Tribolium castaneum: one gene and its partner. The protein of the gene in region 2 interacts with the protein of the main gene of each other region in a biochemical or structural test. Links are inferred from orthologs where the notes say so. Each region holds a gene or a part of one and is shown on either strand. Other genes may lie near its edges.

What was found. The genes of interacting proteins can lie anywhere in the genome.
Region 1: of the proteins of Lar (region 2) and Abl, one has a biochemical effect on the other in vitro, tested with the Drosophila melanogaster proteins (2 studies listed by BioGRID, with this or other methods). The link is inferred for Tribolium castaneum from reciprocal best matches to the Drosophila melanogaster genes Lar and Abl.

Annotation. Positions count from the first base shown.
Region 1 is NC_087394.1:5,578,421-5,589,516, reverse strand, and holds the start of Abl (tyrosine-protein kinase Abl), read right to left. Parts: upstream 7,228-11,096; 5' UTR 6,929-7,227; coding exon 6,799-6,928; intron 1-6,798. UniProt on the Drosophila melanogaster protein: Arm and Abl proteins function cooperatively at adherens junctions in both the CNS and epidermis; critical for embryonic epithelial morphogenesis regulating cell shape changes and cell migration.
Region 2 is NC_087394.1:34,998,193-35,009,188, reverse strand, and holds part of Lar (tyrosine-protein phosphatase Lar), read left to right. Parts: intron 1-2,607; coding exon 2,608-2,802; intron 2,803-6,529; coding exon 6,530-6,640; intron 6,641-6,692; coding exon 6,693-6,968; intron 6,969-7,028; coding exon 7,029-7,313; intron 7,314-7,735; coding exon 7,736-7,759; intron 7,760-7,918; coding exon 7,919-8,019; intron 8,020-9,291; coding exon 9,292-9,484; intron 9,485-9,591; coding exon 9,592-9,879; intron 9,880-10,996. UniProt on the Drosophila melanogaster protein: Possible cell adhesion receptor. It possesses an intrinsic protein tyrosine phosphatase activity (PTPase). It controls motor axon guidance. In the developing eye, has a role in normal axonal targeting of the R7 photoreceptor, where it negatively regulates bdl.

The DNA.
Region 1 (11,096 bases), about 29 Mb from region 2:
TATTGATCAATATCTCGTATCAAATCGTTCTCTCCGAATATTTCTATAAATAATAAAGGAAATTTGTTGAAATCACAGAGGAAAACTCTTGCAATACCTATACAGGGTGTCCCAACGATCCGAAAAAGCTCCACAACTTGTTGCTTATTAAATAATAATAATAATAATAATAATAATAATAATAATAATAATAATAATAATAATAATAATAATAATAATAATAATAATAATAATAATAATAAGTTAATACTTAATCTTTTTTTAATATAGTTGCGTTTCTGCTACATGTTTCTAAAATATTGAAGTATATATACAGTGTCTCAATATTAACAAAAAAAAAATAAAGTTATGTTTTTCAAATGGAACACCCTAAATGTAAACGTAACAAAACCTATATTGGGATTTACAACTCCCACTAGTGGACACCTCTCCACAACGGACAATTAAAAATTCCGCATTGGTGTCCGTTGTTGAGAGGTTTTACTGTAATTTGTTTTTTTTATTTAAATATTTCTATAAATAATACAAAAAATTGGTTGAAATCACTCAGAAAAACTCTTGCAATACATATACAGGCTGTCCCAACGATCCGAAAAAGCCCCACAACTGGTTTATTATTAGAGATATTAACTTATTCTTTTTTTTAATTATAGTTGCGTTTCTATTACGTGTTTTCAAAGTATTGCGGTATATATACAAAGTGTCCCAATATTAAGAAAAAAAATTTTCAAATGGAAAAGCCCTACATGTTATTGCATTTTTTGACTTGGCTTTTAATACTGATGATTTTTATCTAAACCTGTCTTGGTCGATTCTGCTTAATTTTTTAAATACAGCGAAACCTCCTTAATGGACAGATCCGAATAACGGACACCTCTTCACAACGGACATTTTTGTAGAAACGTAACAAAACCTATATTGAGATTTACACCTCCCACTAGTGGACACCTCTCCACAACGGACAATTAAAAATTCCGCATTGGTGTCCGTTGTTGAGAGGTTTTACTGTACTTTTGTTTTTTTTATTTGAAAATTTATTTCACAATAACGAAAAATCGTAGAAAAGTAGGACTTTACCGACACTTTAAAGGGAAAAAACAAACTTAAATCTGTTCCAATTGTTTAAGGCATTGCAATTAGAAACATAGAAACATTAATAAATTTGTTAAAAGTTAAATAACTTTTGAATAACATCAACAAAAGACTTAACTGTTAAAGTTTTTAGGAGAAGTTAAAGGTCTTTTATAGTCAAAAATAAAATGTATTTATCGAGCCCACAACACATTACTAATAAGTAGCTCAGCTGTTTAATTTACAATAATTTCCGTTTTAATTACTTTCTTTCCGTGTAATTTTCTCAATGTTAGAACTTTTTATTTTTTCAACAAATGAAAAAATGCTCATTTTACGGTCTGAAACGACCTTGAAATGCGAGAAATTCATGGTTTTCGATTTTAATTTCAATTTCATAAAGTTTTAAACCTAGATTTCCGACTTTTGCAAGTGTAATTACATCGTCAGTCAAGTGAAGTTTCGTTGTTATTTATTGAACAAAGAAAGTCATTTCCGCTTAATTCTTTTATTTCTGGATATTAATACAATAGAGAAGATAACGAAGAATTCGTGAGCGTAATTTAATTTGCTCTTATCGAAAGTTCGATTTATTTATTAAATATGATTTTATGGCAGTGTGTGCTCAGCTTGGAAGTAACAATGTTTACCATAATACCTCCAACCTTGACTGTTTTTTAATCTCTTTAGATTTCATGCTTGACACACTGCATTGAGGTCTTTCATTACGCTTTTTATCCTTCAAGAATGTGTCACAACGCATTCATCTCCTGAAAAAAATTTAATTCGGGGTTCGTTTCGTCTTCATCGATTGATTATGCGGTGAAAAGGTGTGAAATTTTCATTTCGCTCAAAAGCAAACGATTCAAGTTGAGTTTTGGTGTTTTAATGAAAGCAACTGAATTTTATTGTACCGATCGATCGGACTTTTGTAATATTAATTGTCGCCTTTGAATAAGTTCACGTCATGTCAACGAACTTGCCTCTATTGAAATTTTGTGTTTAAATTATTTGAAGGAAATGTTTGAGGAATCTGGGCGTCAACTCATTTCCTTTTCGTCACATTGACATTTCTAGTTTCCGATCAAATAGATACTTTCACGCCAAAACAGGAGTACTTCTGGACTAATTTTGGAACTAGTTTAAATATGAAAGTGCGTCGATTAATTCGTTTGCCAGGGTGTGTTCAGCACGCGAGGTTTTTGCAAAAAATATTTTTCGCTCGGGTAATAACTGCTTATTCAGGAAACGAGATTTCGGAAACTGACAAGCCAACAATAGAAGGAAATTTTGTTTTATGGTAATTTTCGCCCACCTTTCACATAACGTCGGTGCCGTTTCAAAGTCGGATGTAATCGATCCAGACGTTGTTCAATTTGTTCGTCTTCTGCTGACTCGGGTGACGAACACAATAAAATATAAACAAGATGATTTTCATCCTGTTTTATGCAGCTTTTGTGCGCGCACAATGGAGTTTTAATCAAAATAAATAGACGAGACAGGAGGACAAGTATTAGGCGAGCGGTGGACAACGCGTAAAAGACACTAAAATTTAAATAAATAAATCAAAAATCGAAATATAGAAAACCAATAGCACTACAAAAATAAAGAACTGGAATTAAAAATAAAAAAATAAATATAATAGAACTAAAAATAAAATAAAAAAATTGGAATCGAATATACAGGGTTATTCTTGTAGAATAAGTTTCATTAGAAACTTTTTAACTTCTAATACAGTTAACGCTTCAACTTTGGAATTTTAAATAGTAACCACATATTTTGATTGGATCTTGGTATTCACCTTCTCAAACTGAGTCAAATTAACCCAAGTTGTTGGTACTTATCTGTCATAGTTTTCGACATATGTCACTTTTTTTGTTAAAATTTTCATTTGCTTAGGTTTATTTAAAATATCACAACCCTTAAACCTTTTACAATAACCGAGTATTTTTTACTGCATTCGATAAATGAAGGTTCGAAGAGCCTTCTAGAATTTTCAAAATTGTCAACTGTCAAAACTCAAGGCTAGTACAGGCTAGTTCCATTTGAAAAAACTGTTACAATCATATTTTGATCCTCATTTTCAAAAAATCATAGTAGCCATGCAATTTAACAGTTGACAATTCAGATAATTCTAGAAGATCCTTTAAACCTTTAGTTATCAAATGCAAAAAAAGTATTCATTTATTGTACAGGGTTAGAAAGCCAATTTCACATTGTTCCGGAAGTTCAGCCATTTGAAAGATGATTTTGTTAAACTCAGAATAGTTGATTTGAATCGTATACAAAATCTTAAGGCTCTGGCTGTATTTGATGTTAAAAAGTTTCTAATGTGTGCTGTAAAAGAATCAGCCTGTATTTTAAAGAAAGGTAAAAAAATTATGGAAAAATTCTGAAGAAGAAATAAAAAAATTAATAGTAAGACGCTGATTTCTGTGAATTCACCCTGTATAACATATTTATTTTTTCTATTACAGAGCCTAAAAATGCAAATGCAAAGATTTGAGAAATAGAATTAATTTCGTTTAGCATAAAAGAAAAGTCATTTTTCTTTTTTTTCTCTTCTAGAAGGCATAGTGTAGAACTTTTCTTACACAGGCAATATAAATCTGAAATTTACTTACCTACAATCTGCCTACCTTCTGAAGATTTGAAACAGAATATACCCCACATTAAAAAAAATGATGGAAAATTCATGTTCTATTTTTTATTTCGCTCTGTATTTCAAACATTATGATACAAGTTATACAGAGTATTAAAATAACGCATAAAATTCTTATACTTGCTATGGCTTTTTTTTCAAAAAAAATCTTCGAACAGGTCTAAATATTACACTTTGGCATTTGTATTTCAAAATTTTTGACGTCGCTAGTTTTTAAGAAATAAGGTACTTTTTTATTTTTATTTTTTCTAAAAGCAACCGAAATTTTTGTTTAAGGGTTTTTGACAGTAGTTTTATATCTTTATAGCAAATGTAAAAAATTCAAAAAAAAATAAAACAAAATAAAAAAGTTATGGATAATTTTACAAAAGATTCTGGCATTATTTTATAAGAAATGATTTTTTTATTTTTTTTGTCTTTAGATATCGTAATAAGTGTTTTCATGTTAATTCTTTAAAAAAATTAAAAAAATAATCGCCCTTCATAAAATAAAGCAATAACAAAGAAAAAACCTTTATTTTTAATTTCATTTTGTAATTTTATTATTACTAAAAAGATAAAGAAGTTATTATTATATCATTAATTAAAGCACGTTTATTGTTCAGGGTTGTAAATATTAGAAAATTTGTTAGTTTTGGTTGCAAACAAGTCGCAATAACCATTATTCGGTGCGACCTTTCGCTCGATTAAACCAATTGGCCGTCAAACCAGTGAAACAATTTCGAGCAATTAACAAACTTTCGTCCCCCTCTCTACCCCCTAAAACCGTAATTTTCCTAATTGCAATAAGAAAGTGGAGAAAGAGAATTGGCTTTATTTATTAGAAATCGAGACGAGACGACGAGAAGGCTAGGCTGGCTAGCTTAGGGGAAACTCAGCAGGGGACAAAACAGTCCCGAATCGAGGACAGAGAGGCAAAATCGACATGAATGAACTCGTCGTCGCTTGCTCGCTCCGGCCTTTGAACCACCGGAACCAGGGCCGGATTACAAAACACGATGTCTAGGTCTAGCCTAGGGGCGCATTTAACAAACAAAAAGAAACACAACAAATAAAAAATCGTTTTGTAATAAATTAAAAATGACAATTCATTTATTTCTCTTGTTTATATTTTACCTTTCTCTTGTGTAAAACTTAATTTTTGTCTGACAGCAACTACTAAACCTGTTAATTACCCACTCAAAAAACATATGTAAAAAGTACTATGTTATTCTATGTATTCAAGATTCAAGATAGTTTATTATAACACAAATATAACTCAAAATCTAGTCGTGATAGAATAGTATATTAAAGTACAAGTGGATATTCAGGTCTTTAAAACGATCGGTTTTTCGCGCACGACGGCGTAGCCGGAGTGCTCGAAATAGATCAAGTGTTTTAAAAACCAGTTATCCTAGAATACTTTACGTTATTTTATAAGCTTATATTTTCTAGTCTTGCTCAATGAAATCGCCTTATACTGGCTGAAAACGACAATTTTTAAGAAATCAGTTGATTTTCAGCGACTACTTGCTCAAAAATGGCGAAATTCGCTGTAGAAAACCTGAAATCACTTCATTTTGACTCCAAAAACTACGATTTTAGTTCCATTTTTTTGAAAAATAGTTGATTTTTGACGATTTCTTGCTGAAAAATAGCAAAACTTGCTCCAGCACAAGTCAAAAAACATAGGGTGGGTTTAAATTAAGTCATAAACTTCGTATTTTTGTTATCTTTTTTCAAAAAAATGCTCGAACAGGTCGATTTTATATTTGTAAATGTTACATTTTGGCACCATGGTAACATGACGTCACTTCTGAATAATGGCATTTTTAATTTTTTTAATGGCAACCAATATTTTTGTTTACTGTTTTGGTGGTATACTCTCCTATCTTTATAGTATGAATGAAAAAGTGAAGAAATAAATATTTAAAAGAATCATAAAAAGAAGAAAACAAAGAAAAAAATAAAAAAAAACATGATAATAGCTTAATCTTTTTTATTTTGCCTTAATTTATAAGGGCGATTGTTTTATACTTATTTTGAAAAATTATAATAACAAGAATATGAATTTTATGCGTTACTTTAAAACTCACTCTGTATATTATTATTTTCCGTTTTATTTAACATTTGTCCGAAATCTTTTGTGGCACTAAGCTCGAAATAATAATTTTCCAAAAATATAATTTGCGATACGTCATTGTCGATTTCCATTATTTCAAATTGTAAAATAGACTTCTCTGTCACAACGGAACACTATTGTAAAAATTCTGCAAACTTCACAAAATAACAAAGAATTTCACCAATTTCCAACAGTTATTTGTACTTTCACCATGACAGATATGTCATAGATATAGAAATGGCACTCGAAAAACTACTTATGTCCATAATTTGTCACTAATATTTTGAGAAATATTCAACAATACATTACTCTTAAAAAAGTAAGAAAACCATAGAACCTGAAATTAAAATTTGTTTTTTATTTATGTACTTACTAATTAATTTAAACTTTCTTAGCATTTTAACTAAAATATTTTTTCCAGGTTTTGTGTATCAAATTGTTGTTTTAATGTAAACATGGGATAACGACGAAACGTGAATCTTGTCAATAAATTACAAATATTTTTCCTGTTTTGTGGTTTTCTCAGTTATTTTGTGGTTTTTGCGACATGTGACAACATTGGAGTAAACTGTCAATTGTGACAGTCATTCTTCATTTTATTTGCCTCTGTCGCCTTGGCGATTAAACCCAAAGTCATTTGTAACGAAAAATAAGACTTTAGTGCCGTAACACATAAATATTTATTGTTAAAAACCGTGTAAAAAACAACAAATATAAATTATAATATGTAAAATTGGAGTGAAGACTAGTAGGGGGCGCCTTCTAGATCCGCTTCGGGGCTTTTTCAACCGTAATCCGGTCCTGACCGGAACAACCCCACAAAAAACACAACAACCTGTCAAAGCGAACCGATCGCGACTTCCGTGGAATTTTGACAGATCGATCGAAACAATCGCCAATCGATTAACACGTGCCTACTAGACTAATAACAATAATAACAAGAAATTGGATGAATCATTCATACCGCTGTGTTCGGTGAAAATATTTGAGACAATCTGCCGTCCATCTTTCGTTGCTCGGGGTCTACTTCTGGCCGTTCTAATCGAGTGGTGGGTGCCGATCACTGGTCGTTCCTTGGTGTTTTGGGCGCCCATGGCTTGCAAACATACCCTCCCGGATTGTCACTTAATCCCCCTCTGACGTATGCACACACACATAGGAAGAAAGATGCACACACTCGCACACCGCACTCAAAAGGGTGGCGGATTCGAAAACCCCACAACACAACTACATAATACTCACGCACGACACTCCAAGAACCGCAACAGCTTCGGTCTCAGTTATTTGGCATTTTACGGACGCGAGAAAACCGTCGTTTTAACGATTAGTCGGGATAGATCAATCGCACCATACGTCTACTCCGCCATATTTAAGAAATTCAGCCATAGATAGCGAGAATTCCTATCAATGAACGGCCGGGTAGGCAACACATTATACATATTTTATCTAACTTTATGTATTATTGTGCTTGAAGGCGATAAAAGTGCATTATGGGCACTTAAAATTTGATATTTCGTTTAAACATCGATTGTTTTGTTATTAAAATTGCTAAAATTGGGTACCCTTCTAGAATTGATATGCAACTACTTATACACATAGTCATTCTAACTGTTGTAAATTCGAATTAATGCCGCGACGTGTTTTTGCATTAAATAGTATTTAAATAATATTTGCTAATTAGAACAAACAAAAAACTTTTGGTAAATCTAACTAAGAAGAGATCATTGTTGTATTCTGAAAAATATTAAATAGACAATAATAAAATAAATTTATTTCGAACTGTTGCACAGTCGGACTTTTAACGCATCCACCATAAAATCAAGTAACATTTGAAATTAAGTTTTTAATTTTGTGCTGTCAGTGTTGTTAAAGTGTTTCTTAAAAAGTCAAGGTATGTGGCTAATTATTTTTTAAACAAAGGTATTTAACTAAAAGTTAGTTTAATTTCTCAATCATCGGTACAGTAAATGTGTAGTCTGGAAAGTAGTATTTTCTGGACTCAAATATCATTAACTCATTAACATAGCTCATTAAAGACCGTTAAAATCGTTTGTAAAGTGATTTAAATAGTTCGTAAAATGTGCATGAATGTAATACGTCCTTAATATGATTAGGAATTCCTTGTTAATCTCCTTTGGAAATGACAAAATTGTTAGGCAACGGCCATACCATGCTGAATATTCGGAAATAAAATTACCGTTGGGGGCGCCACTGAGCTAGGTCGAAAACAGTAACCATAAATGGCGTGAAAATGTTTATTCGGATATTTTGAGCGTTGTACGAATTTTGAGGCTTCACAATTATTACATTGCCTATGCGGAATGATTATTGCATCTTTGATGCAAGAAACTTATGTTGACAAATGAGAGATGACGAGGAAAACACGAATAACGAATGACTGTTTGGTTCACTTTCTTTATTGGAAAATTATTACAAAGACATTGAAAAGCCTACCTTTTGGCATAATTTACGTTTAAATGTATCAGCAGTTGTTAATCTTTATTGTCGTTTTGTAGATTTACCGCAGCATTTCATGATTTTTTCAGTGGAAAATTCTAACCTAAAATTCATAACACTTCACTAATTTATTGGTTTCTTGAGCCAAACTTTGTGTTCGCTGTGATCCATTACTTATAATCTTTAATTAGACAACTGTTTGATAACACTTTGTAATCAAAATTTAAATATTTTTCACTTTTTATCCACTTTCAAGTTCCAACAATAAACACTTTATACCACGAAAAACTACAGAACCAAAGTCAACGCTAGTATTTACCACCACGTACTTTTAAAGTAATTCTTTCTATTGTAAGTAATTAACACTATACACGCAAAATTGTTGAACAATTCATTAAATGTCAGTTAAATGTGGCATTACGAAAATTTCTTTACTGTTTTCGACATAGTTCAAAAGTCATCACCAGAGGGCGTCTAGTTAATTTTATTTCCGAATACCAGTTCTCGTCTGATCACCGAAGTCAAGCAGCATCGGGCGCGGTTAGTACTTGGATGGGTGACCGCTTAGGAACACCGCGTGCCGTTGCCTTTTTTCTGCACTTTTAACATTTTAAATAATACCATACACAGTTCAAAATCATAGCAAAAAGCAGTAGAAAAATTGGTGTCTCAAAATTGACATCCGTCTTTTGGGAGTTTGATCCAAGGAGCTAAACAAATCGGAAGTTAAGAGTAAAAAAATTTACAATTGTCCTTCATTGTCGATTTACTGATTAAAATGTAAATAATCAACTTTATGCTGTCTTTCCAATTATTGGTGCAACATAATTCATTATTACTTGATCTTAGCGATCAAATTTTAAAATTTCTCTGTCTTGGACAAGTATTATCTATTTCCTTCGGTTTTCTGCCTTTAAAATGAAACAATAATACTGCATTAGTGCATGTATTTTAACGCATTTTTCAAAATTTATCCCCTGGATAAAGTTATCGGACGGTTGTAAAGCGGCCCTAACACAAATAGCAGAATGTGTATTGTTGGTTGCATACCGAACGCGCAGTTCTCCTAAAATTGTGTGAAACGTGCTTTATAATTTAAACCGGCTTTATACAGTTTTTAAACACACGTGTATAACCAGTTGCCTGGTGTATTACATTAATTTTAGTTTTAAGTTTAGGATCGCACATTAGGATCTAGTACATTAATACTAGTATTAATTTAGAAATAAGGCACGTATTTTCTTTAACAACAGTTAAAATCGTAACCAATTTTAATGGAAAGAAATAAGATGTATGTAATATGACTTAACAGTAGGCCCAACTAATTGTGATTATTCCAAATACTTCATATACTTCTCATTTTTAGAATTAACTAATTTCTCAAAGGGTTTGTTTATGTTTTACATGTAGACCTATTTATATTTTTCGTTTTTTATTTTGTTTAATTCTTTACTTGTTTCTTTCGTCTATATTTCTTTTTTATTTTTTTTTGGTTTTGTTTTTTCATGGAGTATTATGATCCAGATGGTTTTTCATCATTTTCAAATTATTATTTTTTATATCTAACTTTCCAGCGTCACTTGATGATCTTTCAGTTCCCTTTCTTTTGCTTTTTCCTATCGCTTTATGTATAATGATTTTTTCCGTGTTTTTTTTTCTTTTTTATGTTTCGTACTTATTATTATGTATATTAATCTTAATTCTGTTGGAAATCTTTTTTTCCAAACTTTTTTTTCCTGCGCCTTTTCTTCCTTCAATCTTCCTATTATATTCCTCATTTATTTTTGGGTATACCCCTCTTGAGTACTTACTTGATTACTTCTACCATTATTATTTCCTTTCTTGTTTGCTCCTAGTATTATTTTGTGCAGTAACTTGCTTTCCACTTTTTTAAGTATTTTTTTAAATCGTCTTAATTTTTTTGTAGAGTTTTCTTTTCCCCTATTTTAATTTTTTTAAACAATTATACCCTTTTCTTTTGTTTCTAATGTTTTTTCATTCCCCTCTTTCTCTGTCTTTGCATTTTGATTTTCTAGGTAAATAATAATATACAAAAAATCTCCATTTTTTCTACCTAAAGACTTAATCAGACCTTTTTGTGATAATAGCAGCAAATCTGACAACTTTCTTAACTTGGATCTGCTTATAAGTCTAAAATCATAGTCAAAACGTAAAAGGCTTTTTGAAGTTTTAGTCAAAAGTCAACTACAACGCAACATACGTGTTCAGAAGGTGAAGTAGTTACTGAAAATGCAATAGGAATTCAATATTTTTATATAATTAAATTACTTATTTAATGATAAGTCTGCAAAAACTTATTTCACTTTAATTTAAACGAGTTGTGTACATAGAAATGAGGATGTCAATCCTGTCTTTTTTTTCATAAAATTTATACATAATAATTGTTTCATGCTATAAAAAATAAAACAAGAATATTTATTCTCGTAATTGTGTTACAAAAAGTTAAAAAATCGGGAAAAGCTAGGGAATAGCGTGTACACCTTTCTCTCAAATTTATTACATAAATCGTTGTTAGGTGGTGTTATAATAATTACTTAATATTTTTTGCTCAATACAGTTTTTAAATCAATTTCGTGGTCTAGAGAACTTTTGAAGAAGCAAATCTTGAACGCAATTAATACGAAAATATTTTAGGGGCTATTCTCACTATAAACTTGGTTTCTTTCTTCCCTCGTTGATTATTGTACTTCACTCTTGCAATTTAAAGTACTTAACAATCAAAAACTAAACTAAAATAAACAGTTAAGAACAGAAGTATTTTGTGATTTGTTGCAACTTACTGTC
Region 2 (10,996 bases):
AATATCTCTTGTGCACGTGAAGCGGTATCGGAGCTCTACCGCAGCCCCTCGTGTTCCGCTTACCTGAGGAGAGCCTGATAGGTGGATCCGCCATCAATCAATGGGTCATATCCGGAGCTTTCAGGAAATGAACCGACCAGCAGACGAACCGCTTTCAGCCTTCGTCGCCGCCTTTTTTCTGCCCATTACTCGAGCTCTTTGCGAATTCGTACATAACCGCGGCTATATTACGACTTTGGTGGTTTCGGCCGTAATATGAGCATCAGCCTTTTGGTTCTCTTTCCGCGAAGCAAACTCGTCATGAACGTTAAATTGAACGTGACACGTCTCGTTTACGTTTAAAAATTGAAAAAGCACAAATGACAGTACATTGCCGTTAAGTTGACGTAGAAGGCATGCGATGCCGGGGCACTTACCTACTCCGGAAGCTCCCTAGGCACTCTCGACTACTAAACTTCACGGCGAAATTGTATCAGATGGTGTGCATCTAAAGTCTATATGGAGTGCTTGTCTGGTGCAGTTTCGCATTTCACCTGCATCATTCCCGGATACTTCCGCCGTGAGGAATTTTAATTAACATTTATTTCAGGCGTTCCATGCATACTGAAAAATCTCAGCGGATTTTCCTGACGTTCCTAAAGCAGACAAGGGCTGCATTGTCTGCAAATGGATAGGATTGCAGATTTTCCTTCGCAGAATGAAGTTTATCGTTCATCGAATTTTTAAACGAGAAAAGGCAAATATAATTTGAGGGCTTTTTTACATAAATTTGCTCTCGAGTTCCTTTGAAGTCTACGTGTTTTGCAAAATATTTACTCAGAATATGGTCCGCGTCAGACTCGATAAAGGACCGACTGCCATATACATGCATATAGGGTGCTCACACATCAAACATACGCGGACAGCGAAAAATCATATATCCATCTACTTAGTCTCGTCTAAGACTTATCTAACCAGTCGAGATAAATTACCGACTTAACACGGAAATTTATTTAAAGCAGCTTCTATATATTAATCATTACGTTGTTACAAATTATAAATGTCTATTCTAATAAATCTAATAAATTTTATACTGGGTGGGCAACCTTATCGCGCACCCAAGAAAATCGCGACTTTTAATGAAATAAAAATCATGAAATTTTACACACCAGCCTGTACATTGATAACGACCATTCTCGATTTTTATTAAATTTTTTTATTAATAAATAAAGTCGTAGCAGTTTTGTGAGTTTTTGGGCACTAACTGTTAATTTAACTAGAAAGTTTTTAGACCAAATGAATTCTTACTTGCTAGCCCATCGAACGCTGGTATCAGAATTATAAATTTTTACTTGGTTGGTGAAATAATCGGTCTTTCTTATTTAGACGCGTGATTTATTAGAAGATGGTATAATTTGCCAACAAATGGATCAGTTACCAGTAGCCGACCTCTTTGAAGCCCCTTATTTACAGTCTTGCAATAAAACTGATGCCTGCTTTGAAATATCCCAACGAAATCTTTTACAATCTTACCCCAATTACAGTTCACATTGTCACCAAAATTTACGACGCCACAAGTAGCTACTCATAAATAAAAATAATTTTTAAAGTTGAAATGTAAAAGTGCGTTTAATTCAAAATCTGATTGGTATTTTTCTTCGCTACTTTCGTAAACAATTATCTCAAGTGAATACGCATGATTTAGTATAAAATTTAGAATTTGACTTTTTGGTCAAAAATATATTTTTTTAATTATTATTTTTATCTGCAAAAGAAAAATTACCAAAAAATTGGGGGAGATACCTTTCGAACGTACAGTCAGGCGTGTAAAATGAAATATTTTTTATATACCTACATATGCATATTCTGTCGCAGAGAAATCTCTGTACAAGAAAGCTTTTTTATTTATTAATCATTTTTAAAAAATTTGTCAAAAATGGTTGTTATGGGTTTGACTCAAGATTAAAGACGGATTAATTTTTTAACTATTTTATTTATTATCTAATTTCATTTTAATAATCAGACTTAGACAAACGGAAGGTTTTGAAGCAGTTTTTCCCAGACCTTTGTTATTTTTACGTTTAAAAATAAAATGTAGACCAAAATGATTTCTAAGAAGGCAAAAAATTTGGCATTTCGCCACTATGCTGCCATGTGGTCTAAATTATGAAAAATTGGTTAAATTCAGTGCATTTATAGTGCGTTTGGGCCGGGCCATAAATCCAGGGCCGAACCGAATGAAATATAAAATTTTAGTGTGTTTGGTACCTTCGTACAAGCTTCACGTATCGAATTAGGTCCGTTTCGATTTCGTTGCAAGTTTAATGTTATCGGAACGGACGTATGTACACCGGCTTACATTGACCAGCAAATTCGTGTAAATACCACTACACACGATCGAAGCATTAAATTGTTCGATCTGTGTGGGTAATATCGCACAAGGCCCACCGCTACTAAGCCGGCAATAAATTCCCCCGTAAATCTATAATTTACGCTTTGATTTACGCGCATTCTGAATGCCTATGGAAATTTGTTAATAGATTAAAAGGGATCACGTGGCCGCTTTATTACAGTTTACTTCGTCAAGCCAGAACCTGTCGTTTATTAAACGTCTTCTTTGTTTTGCAGCCGATAAATTGCCGCCGGGCTTCCCCCAAATCACCCAGTCGCCCACCACCAACAAGGTCGTCGAAATTGGGCACAAAGCTGTGCTTTCGTGCGCCGCCACTGGTAATCCGCCGCCCAAGATCACCTGGCTGAAGAACATGCTGCCCATCAACAGCTCCACCAGCCCACGGTACACCATCAGGGACGAAATGCCAGGTAAAAAAACTGAGTTACTTTCCAATCGCTGAAAACCGCTAATTGGGCAAGTTAATCTCGCGGGAAATCAAAACGGTGTCGCACGATTTTAATATGGCGGCTGCTGGCTGGAAGAGGGAAAAACGAAAACGGAGTCATTCGCTTGCAGAGCTTGTCGACGAAAGCTCATCTTTCACTAACTTTCCACCTACAATCTGAAAGCAGCTGCACCCTCTGCATACATGCAGCACAAAAGCTCGCACACTTTTTACACTTTCGAAAGATTCTACCTATAACCCAAATAACTAGAATTTATTTACCATTGTTGGAGGATTCAATCGATAATCGCAACCCAATTGTTATAGTCACGTGGCAAATAGAGTAAATAGACACCAGCGTTGACAGTGCTGCAAGTGACACCATTGGCTCGTTTCACGAGTTGTAATTAATAGACAAAGGCAGGAAATTAAAAATGATACTTATACCAAAAATTATTTTGGTATAAATAATGTTACTTTTGGCCAATTAATATTGTTATTATTTTTATTTTTTAAGTTGATATTTGATTAAAAACGTACTTAAATACTAGCTTAAATAATAACTGCGAGGACAAGGGATGAAAAAAAACAATTTTTAGACTAACAAAAGCGAAGTAATCTCAAAAATGGTTTCCAAAACCAAATTGAAACTCCGATTTTTTAATTAAATTGACACAAATTTCTATTTATTATGGGAGTTTAAAGCTTCATAATTTAAAAAAAAAAAACATGTCAGCAAAAAAATTAAGGCCAAAATGTTATCAAAAGACAGATTGCAAATTTAGTATAAGTCGTGCTTATTATTAGCACAAACTTAATTTTAATTAATTACTTAGTTTAATTCTCACTAAGTTTTTGGCTTATTTTCAGAAGATTCCTGGATTAAATAAATACGTAGGTAATCTAAAAAAAACTTAGACGTTTCGTTTAAGACTTCTTTTCTGTTAGTATCTTTTCTTCTTATCTAAAAAGCGTAAATTGTAACAAAGTGGAAACATGTCTTGATGAGATGAATTTATTCATTAAAACATTAAACATTCTGTATTTCTTTTGTAATAAAATATCAAGTTAAATAAATGCCATCTGTAAACTAAATCACAACTCAAAGAATAACACACAACACCAGAAAGAACGAAAATAACAATAATAACACAAATTCAGAGACAAATCCGAGATTTTAAACAACTTTGCCGAACAGTGCAAGAAATGTTAATCAGTCGTTTTTAAAGACGTTTTAAAAGCCTTGTATAAAATATATCTGCTACAAAATTGATGTTATTTAAGCAGCTTACGTGTTACACATCTCGATTTTCAGTCTCGGTGGACAATATTCAGATCGCGTGCCTAAAACACTTTTTGCAGTTTATTACATAAATATCACATTATTTTAAAATTGGAAAATCAATTAACCCTGCATGAAAATGGGCTTTTTTGCAATTTCTGAACAGACCGAGTGTTTGCTAAACGGTCTCTTTTTTTCGATAATTCGAAATCGCAGTGTATCACTTTGGGTCTTGAGAAATTTTCTTTTTATAAATTTTATATGCAGCGTCTGCTGCGGCGAAACGTAATATAAGCTACGTTTACCCGGCTTGCATATTGATTCAGCCAACCAGGAATAAGGAATATCCGCAAACGAACCACAACAAAAACTCTATTTATCTCCCCGACGTTAAGCTCTGATCTGGCCCAGGAATAATGCTCACACCTCACACAATAACAGCTTTTTATGATTCGACGGGTTTTCTCCCGGTCGGCTATTCACTATAATTACTTATATCCAGCAAGGAAATCCGCCACATCAATAATAATTGTCGCGAACGTGGAAAAAATATGTGCGGTAGAATCATTTCATGCATGGTCGCCGCATCATAATCAATTCTTTGCGGACGATAAATTCAGAATCTACAACCGCCTTGTTAATATCCTATTAGGGGGTATTTAACGGTTTGAAAGCGTTTCGTAACGGGATGCTATCTTGCGAAGGAAGATCACTAAAGCACGTTTCTGGAATTTTAGAAGCTTCTTTGTTAGCTGTTCGTATTTTGTGTGCTCGAACTAATCGAGTGTCCGGTTCACGTGTTTAGTGGAATTCCCCGGACGGATCGTTTTCCCTGGGGAACATTAGTTCTACTGACGGGAGGACTATAGCGAATCATCTCGGCCACTTCACTACCACCTACATTACGCCCACAATGCGAATGCGAATTGCAAAATTTTAAAGCGTCTTTTTATCGTAAAAAATTAAAACGTTACTACTTGAAAAAATAAATCTACTATGTGAGTTCTACCAATGAGATGGCCAATATTTGCAACAGTGAAACTTCTCTAACGCGAATCTCCAAGACGCGGAAAATCTAATTCGAATTAGGAAAAAATATTTCTATCCTTGTACTTTCGTACTGTTTTGACCAAATTACACCGAATGTTGTGCGTAAAACTCCTTGGTTTTGCTAAACGAACCAAAAAATTGTGATTCCAAGATAGATTAAAGGTCGCATTAAGAAATCTTCACTGTAAAAATGACCTAAATTGAGGTACACAGTCAAAATCTTCCAATTTATAGTTTCAGTCATTTTGCCAAATAAGTGTTAAAAAACGTGGTTATTAGTTATTACAACTTCAATATAAATTCTAGAGTTAACTTCCTTTGGCATGATTTGAGTGAGTTAATTTGAATGTATCTACGTGAATATCAGAATATCTTAGCAAGTTCGTACGAATTTTAATGTGATATTTAACCCTAACATTCAGTCTTCACTTCTTGAACTAATTTTTTTCTTAACATAAAATATTGTAGGGTATATATTTTACTTACAGTTCGACCGGAATAGTAATACTTTGATGTAAAGCTCGCCAAAGTTTTATTAACTTTTTTAAAGCTAACGTGTAATTAAAACAAACATTAGAAATAATTTATTTATGTTATAACTTTCCAGTTATGAGTTCCTTAACCAATACTGTAGTTTTATTACTTATTTTTCTGACTACAAGGCTTTATGCCTGTCTTATTTTTTCATAATTGCTGATTGTTATTTTATTCTGAGTCTCCAATTAAATACTGATATGCCATTAATAACAATAACAACAGCCGTTTTAAATAATTTTAACAGCCCTGACTACGCACGTCGCTATATATTCGAAAGACAATTTGCACCAAATTCGTCATTCTAATTATGAATAATTTTGTCCCAAATAATCTCTTGACATTACAAAAACTTCCATCAAAACAAAATAATAATAAAACTTGAGCTAATCTTTAGAAAGAATCACATCTTAGAGTTTTTTATAATTCTAGAGATGTTTTTAATTTAGCAATATCTCTACTCCTATGACATTTTTTATAGTTTCCTTTCATCTTTTGGACAATAATTCTATTAGTTGGGCATTTTACTTATTTTTTAACGAGAATAAATTACCTCTAGTTAAAAAAAATGGTTACATTTATGCAAAAATATTTTTTGGCTTGTCTCTGGTTTTAAAACTTTCCTTATTTTAAAAGATTTTTCTTAGATCTAGCAGAGAAAAGTGTTTCTACGAAGAAAAAAATTTAAATTACTAGAAGCTGAAGATTGTAATTTTACAGTCATTTACACCTTTCTGTGGAGTGACTAAAATTATTTCAATATTTTATGGGTTACTGAAATTGACTTTTTTAGATTATGCAATTTTTATTTAGAAACGTGAATGGTAGATATAATTTTTTTCAGGCACCCTCCAAATTAGAGATAGCGAAGAAAAAGACCAAGGCAAGTACGAGTGCATGGCGGAAAACGCGATCGGTACCGACTACTCCAAGTCAGCTCAACTCTACGTCAAAGGTTGAATTGGTTAGATAATAAAATAGTTGTTTTGTAAAATTTGCTTTCGTAGTGCGTCGTGTTTCTCCCCAATTTTCGATACCTCCAGCGCCGCTGAGTGAAGTGATGTTGGGTGCTAATCTGAACTTGACTTGTGTGGCAGTGGGTTCGCCGATGCCTTTCGTCAAGTGGCGTAAAGGACTCACTCAGGACCTAACTCCTGAAGACAAGTTACCCATTGGGAAGAACACTTTGCAACTAACTAATATTCAAGAGTCTGCTAATTATACTTGTATAGCCGCTAGCGTGTTGGGCGTTATCGATGCTGTTGCTCAGGTCAAAGTACAATGTGAGTAGTAATCCGTCCAAGTTTGAGACTCTGTTGACTATTGATTTGGCGCGAATTTAGCATTACCGGGACCACCTATCAATGTTCGAGCGTCAGAAATCACAGCGACTTCCGTTCGGCTGACTTGGTCCTACAACGGACCGGAGGATCTTCAGTATTACGTCATTCAATTTAAGCCAAAATATGCCAATCAAGCCTTCAGCGAAATATCAGGAATCATTACCATGTATTATACGATTAGAAGCCTTAGTCCCTACACCGAATACGAAATGTACGTCATTGCCGTCAACAATATTGGGAGAGGGCCTCCGAGCGCACCGGAGTTTGTTACCACAGGAGAAACAGGTAATTTCCTCCGGATTCATTAAATTCCGACTGTATTGCAACCACTTGTTCCGCTTCTGTCACTCCACAAACGAACGGCGGTGGCAGAAGCGAAGCAACGGTTTGATTACTGATCTAAAAGAATGGGACCTTTTCCATCCATCACGCGACATGATGATGACAGTAAAGTGTCTTAATCCACCCATAAATTTCGTTTTCTTTCACCCTACTGTTTATCATTTTCATGCAAACTACCCATTTTTCATATGGATTTTGTGCCTATGCCTAATGTAAGTTTTTTTCAGATTTTTGTGTGCATTTTTTACACGACTAGAGTAGTTTTTCACTCACGCCTTTTGGTACTCTCTAGCAATTAGAATTTTGATAAATTTCTTCAAACGCGTCACTATTGGCCACTTTAATTGTTCTTTTTTCTGTTTTAGCTGAAACGTCTTTTGGAGGTGCCAGTAAGTTAAATGTACACAATAAATAATAAGTGGCGTCATTTGTGTAACAGACCTTTCTCATTTTTGTTGTTTTTTTCGGTCGAATCCCTTTTTATTTTACTTTTATGAATGCATATTTCCAACACATTTATTCCGCGATCTGAGTCAACTCCATTTCAGAACCCGGATCGTCACCACGAAACGTGCAAGTCCGACCACTGAGTTCCAGTACCATGGTCATTCAATGGGACGAACCCGAAACGGCAAACGGACAAGTTACCGTAAGTTTTTTACATTGCATTTTTTCCCGAAATTGAAACAATTAAAAAATTGGAATTAACCAGTTTCCAAGTGTATTATGGTTGTTTAGAGGAAATAAATTACTCAGAGACAGTCCACTATATTTCATTGTTGTTAAATTTCCAAAATTATCTTTATTATCATATTCAGGACTAGATGAAAATTTTTTTCTATTTTTTTGTGAAAGTTTTATGCCCGCTATTGAAAAGGACTTTAATAAAATGGGGTAAAATATTTGCCAAAATTCGTTGCATGTTTTTTAAGACATACTGACCTGATAAATATTTAAAAAAATATTTGGTTGAAACTTTTAACTAGCTTTTTGCAACTTTTGCAAGTGTTGAAATTGACACCGATTTTTTTTTCTTAATTTTTTATACGTGTCTCCTAATTGTACTTTTTTCGTAATTTTTCATAATTTTGATGTAAATTCAACTTCCCATTGCTTACTTCAATGTTGCCAAAATAGACGCACTAAAAAGTCTTTGAATGATCGCGTTATCTAGTGAAAAACTACATTTGAAAGTTAATCTCCAGTATATTTTTATTTATGCAGAATATTTGAGTTAGTTTTCCTAATAATAATACCTCGAATAATAATAATACTTCGAAACGATAGAAACTCTTAAGTTACTAATACAAATTATTCACTTTTGAGAAAAATCATCCTTTTGGTACATAATAGCTCGACTTTTCGTATTTTTATAAAACTTTTTTTCGTTTTTTTTTTTTTGTTTCTTTTGATAAAACTGTTATGGATCTATCTTTTCTATACTTATACAGTTTTTCTCTGTGTCTATCATAAAGTTAAAAATGTCCGTTCATTTTCAATTTTAAAACGTTATGTAACCACTTTTTGTATAGTAAGCAATTGAAAAATTTTTTTTTTCAGTTTTTCAGTTCGAAATTTTTTTCAATTGTAGTATTGCCAGCAATGCTCATGGTATTAACAAGAATACAATAGTAATATTGCTTTCGTTTTTCACTTTTAAAGCACGAATTTATCAGCTTTTCAAGTGTTCTATTATTGTTTTCGCGAAACAACGGAATCGTAACTTTTGTACTTTGTTTACAACAATTCACATTTATTTCAGGGACTGCTTAAATAGCTGAAAATATATTCTAAAATCTGATAGAAGTTTGAATGTGGTTACTTGTGACCGTTCTTATGAGTTGAGTTGTTTCAACTCAATAACGTGTAATACTTTGTCCAACGGCTTTATTAACCCACATTTCCTCTTTGTCATCACTAGGGATACAAAGTATACTACACAACCAACTCCCAACTCCCGATGGCCCAATGGGAATCCCAAGTCGTCGACAACAATCAACTAACAACAATCAGCGAACTAACTCCTCACACTATCTACACCATCCGTGTCCAGGCCTTCACTTCAGTAGGTCCTGGCCCGCTCAGTGCCCCCGTCCACGTAAAAACGCAACAAGGTGCGACCATAATTGTTTATAATCATATTTTTGATAACAAAGATTTAAAAATAAAAACAAAAAAATTGAATTTAGATTTTTTTTTACTTATGGGTTGGTCTGTTTAGGCGTCCCAAGCCAACCGAGCAACCTGATGGCGTCGGATATCGGCGAGACCTCCGTCACCCTACAGTGGAGCAAACCGACGCATTCCGGGGAAAACATCGTCAATTACGAGCTCTACTGGAATGACACGTACGCCAAAGAGAAACACCACCGTCGCATACCTATCACCGAATCCTACACATTGACGGGACTTTATCCCAACACTCTGTATTACGTGTGGTTGGCGGCGAGATCGCAACGTGGGGAAGGCGCCACCACACCCCCGATACCAGTCAGAACGAAACAGTACGGTAAGAGAATCCGGTCAGGGGGCGGTTTTTGTGAGTCAAGGGTGGTGATTTTTTGATTTTTGGAGTATTTTTGCGTTGCAACACAGCGTTTGCAATATAAGAACACATGTAGTTTTTGGCAGGGGACGGGGGGCGATTTTGCTGCAATTTGCGCGTTCTAGTCGTGTTGGAAGTACGATGACTTAAGAGCCACGATCACAACTTTTTCAACTGCACCAAGTTTTGACCGAATTTGCACCATTGGTGCAAACGAAAACGGACAAAAACGTTGTTTCGCATTACATCTGAACGAATTTTAAGTATTGGTGTTTTGAAAGCCGCTCCTAAAGAACTACTCAGTTTGTTGAGAGATCAAGTATCGCCCTTGGATCTGAGGTGCTTGTGAATTAGGAAAAAAAAATTCCAAAGTTTCTGTATAAAAAGAGTTTCTTCTTTATTTAGAGTTAAGAAAAAAGTCACGAGGGATTTTGCCATTTTGTATTGAAATTTAGAAATCTCTAAAAACTTTTGTACGATTTGTATAGGGTTTAAAAGTTTTGAAAAAATCACACTTTCTGGAACTCATCCGCATTCCGCTATCATCGCTTGCTTGTAATTTATACAAAAGTTGAAATTTTAATTAATTTTTGCTATTCTGGGAAACGCATTAAAAAAACTATTGTTGGGGCTGTTATAAAAACGTAAATCCGTCTCTTTTCATATTTTATTGTACGATAACGAATTCTCCATAACAGGTATAGTGTGCAGACGAGAGAACATCAAAACTTTATATCGCACGACGAGGTTTATAAGGATGGCTTGTTAAAACACAATGAAATATTTTTAGGCGTACATTTGCGGTCTAGAAACTCGTGTTGTAAATTTGGCCAAAATGTGAAAATAATACGTCTGGCAGTTTAAAAAGTTGTGCTTGTGGTGTCTTTTGCTGTCGGCGACGGCACGACCTGAACTCGTCGATTCAGACTTGAGACTAATGTTGCATTGTTTTAAAAATGCGATTGATCGGAACTTACGTTCCAGAAGTGTGTAAGTTTACTAAAACTATTTGAATTAATGCCGTTGTGGATGCGTGATGGATGAGTGTTTTATTTTTCTTGTGGAATTGCATTTGCATGCC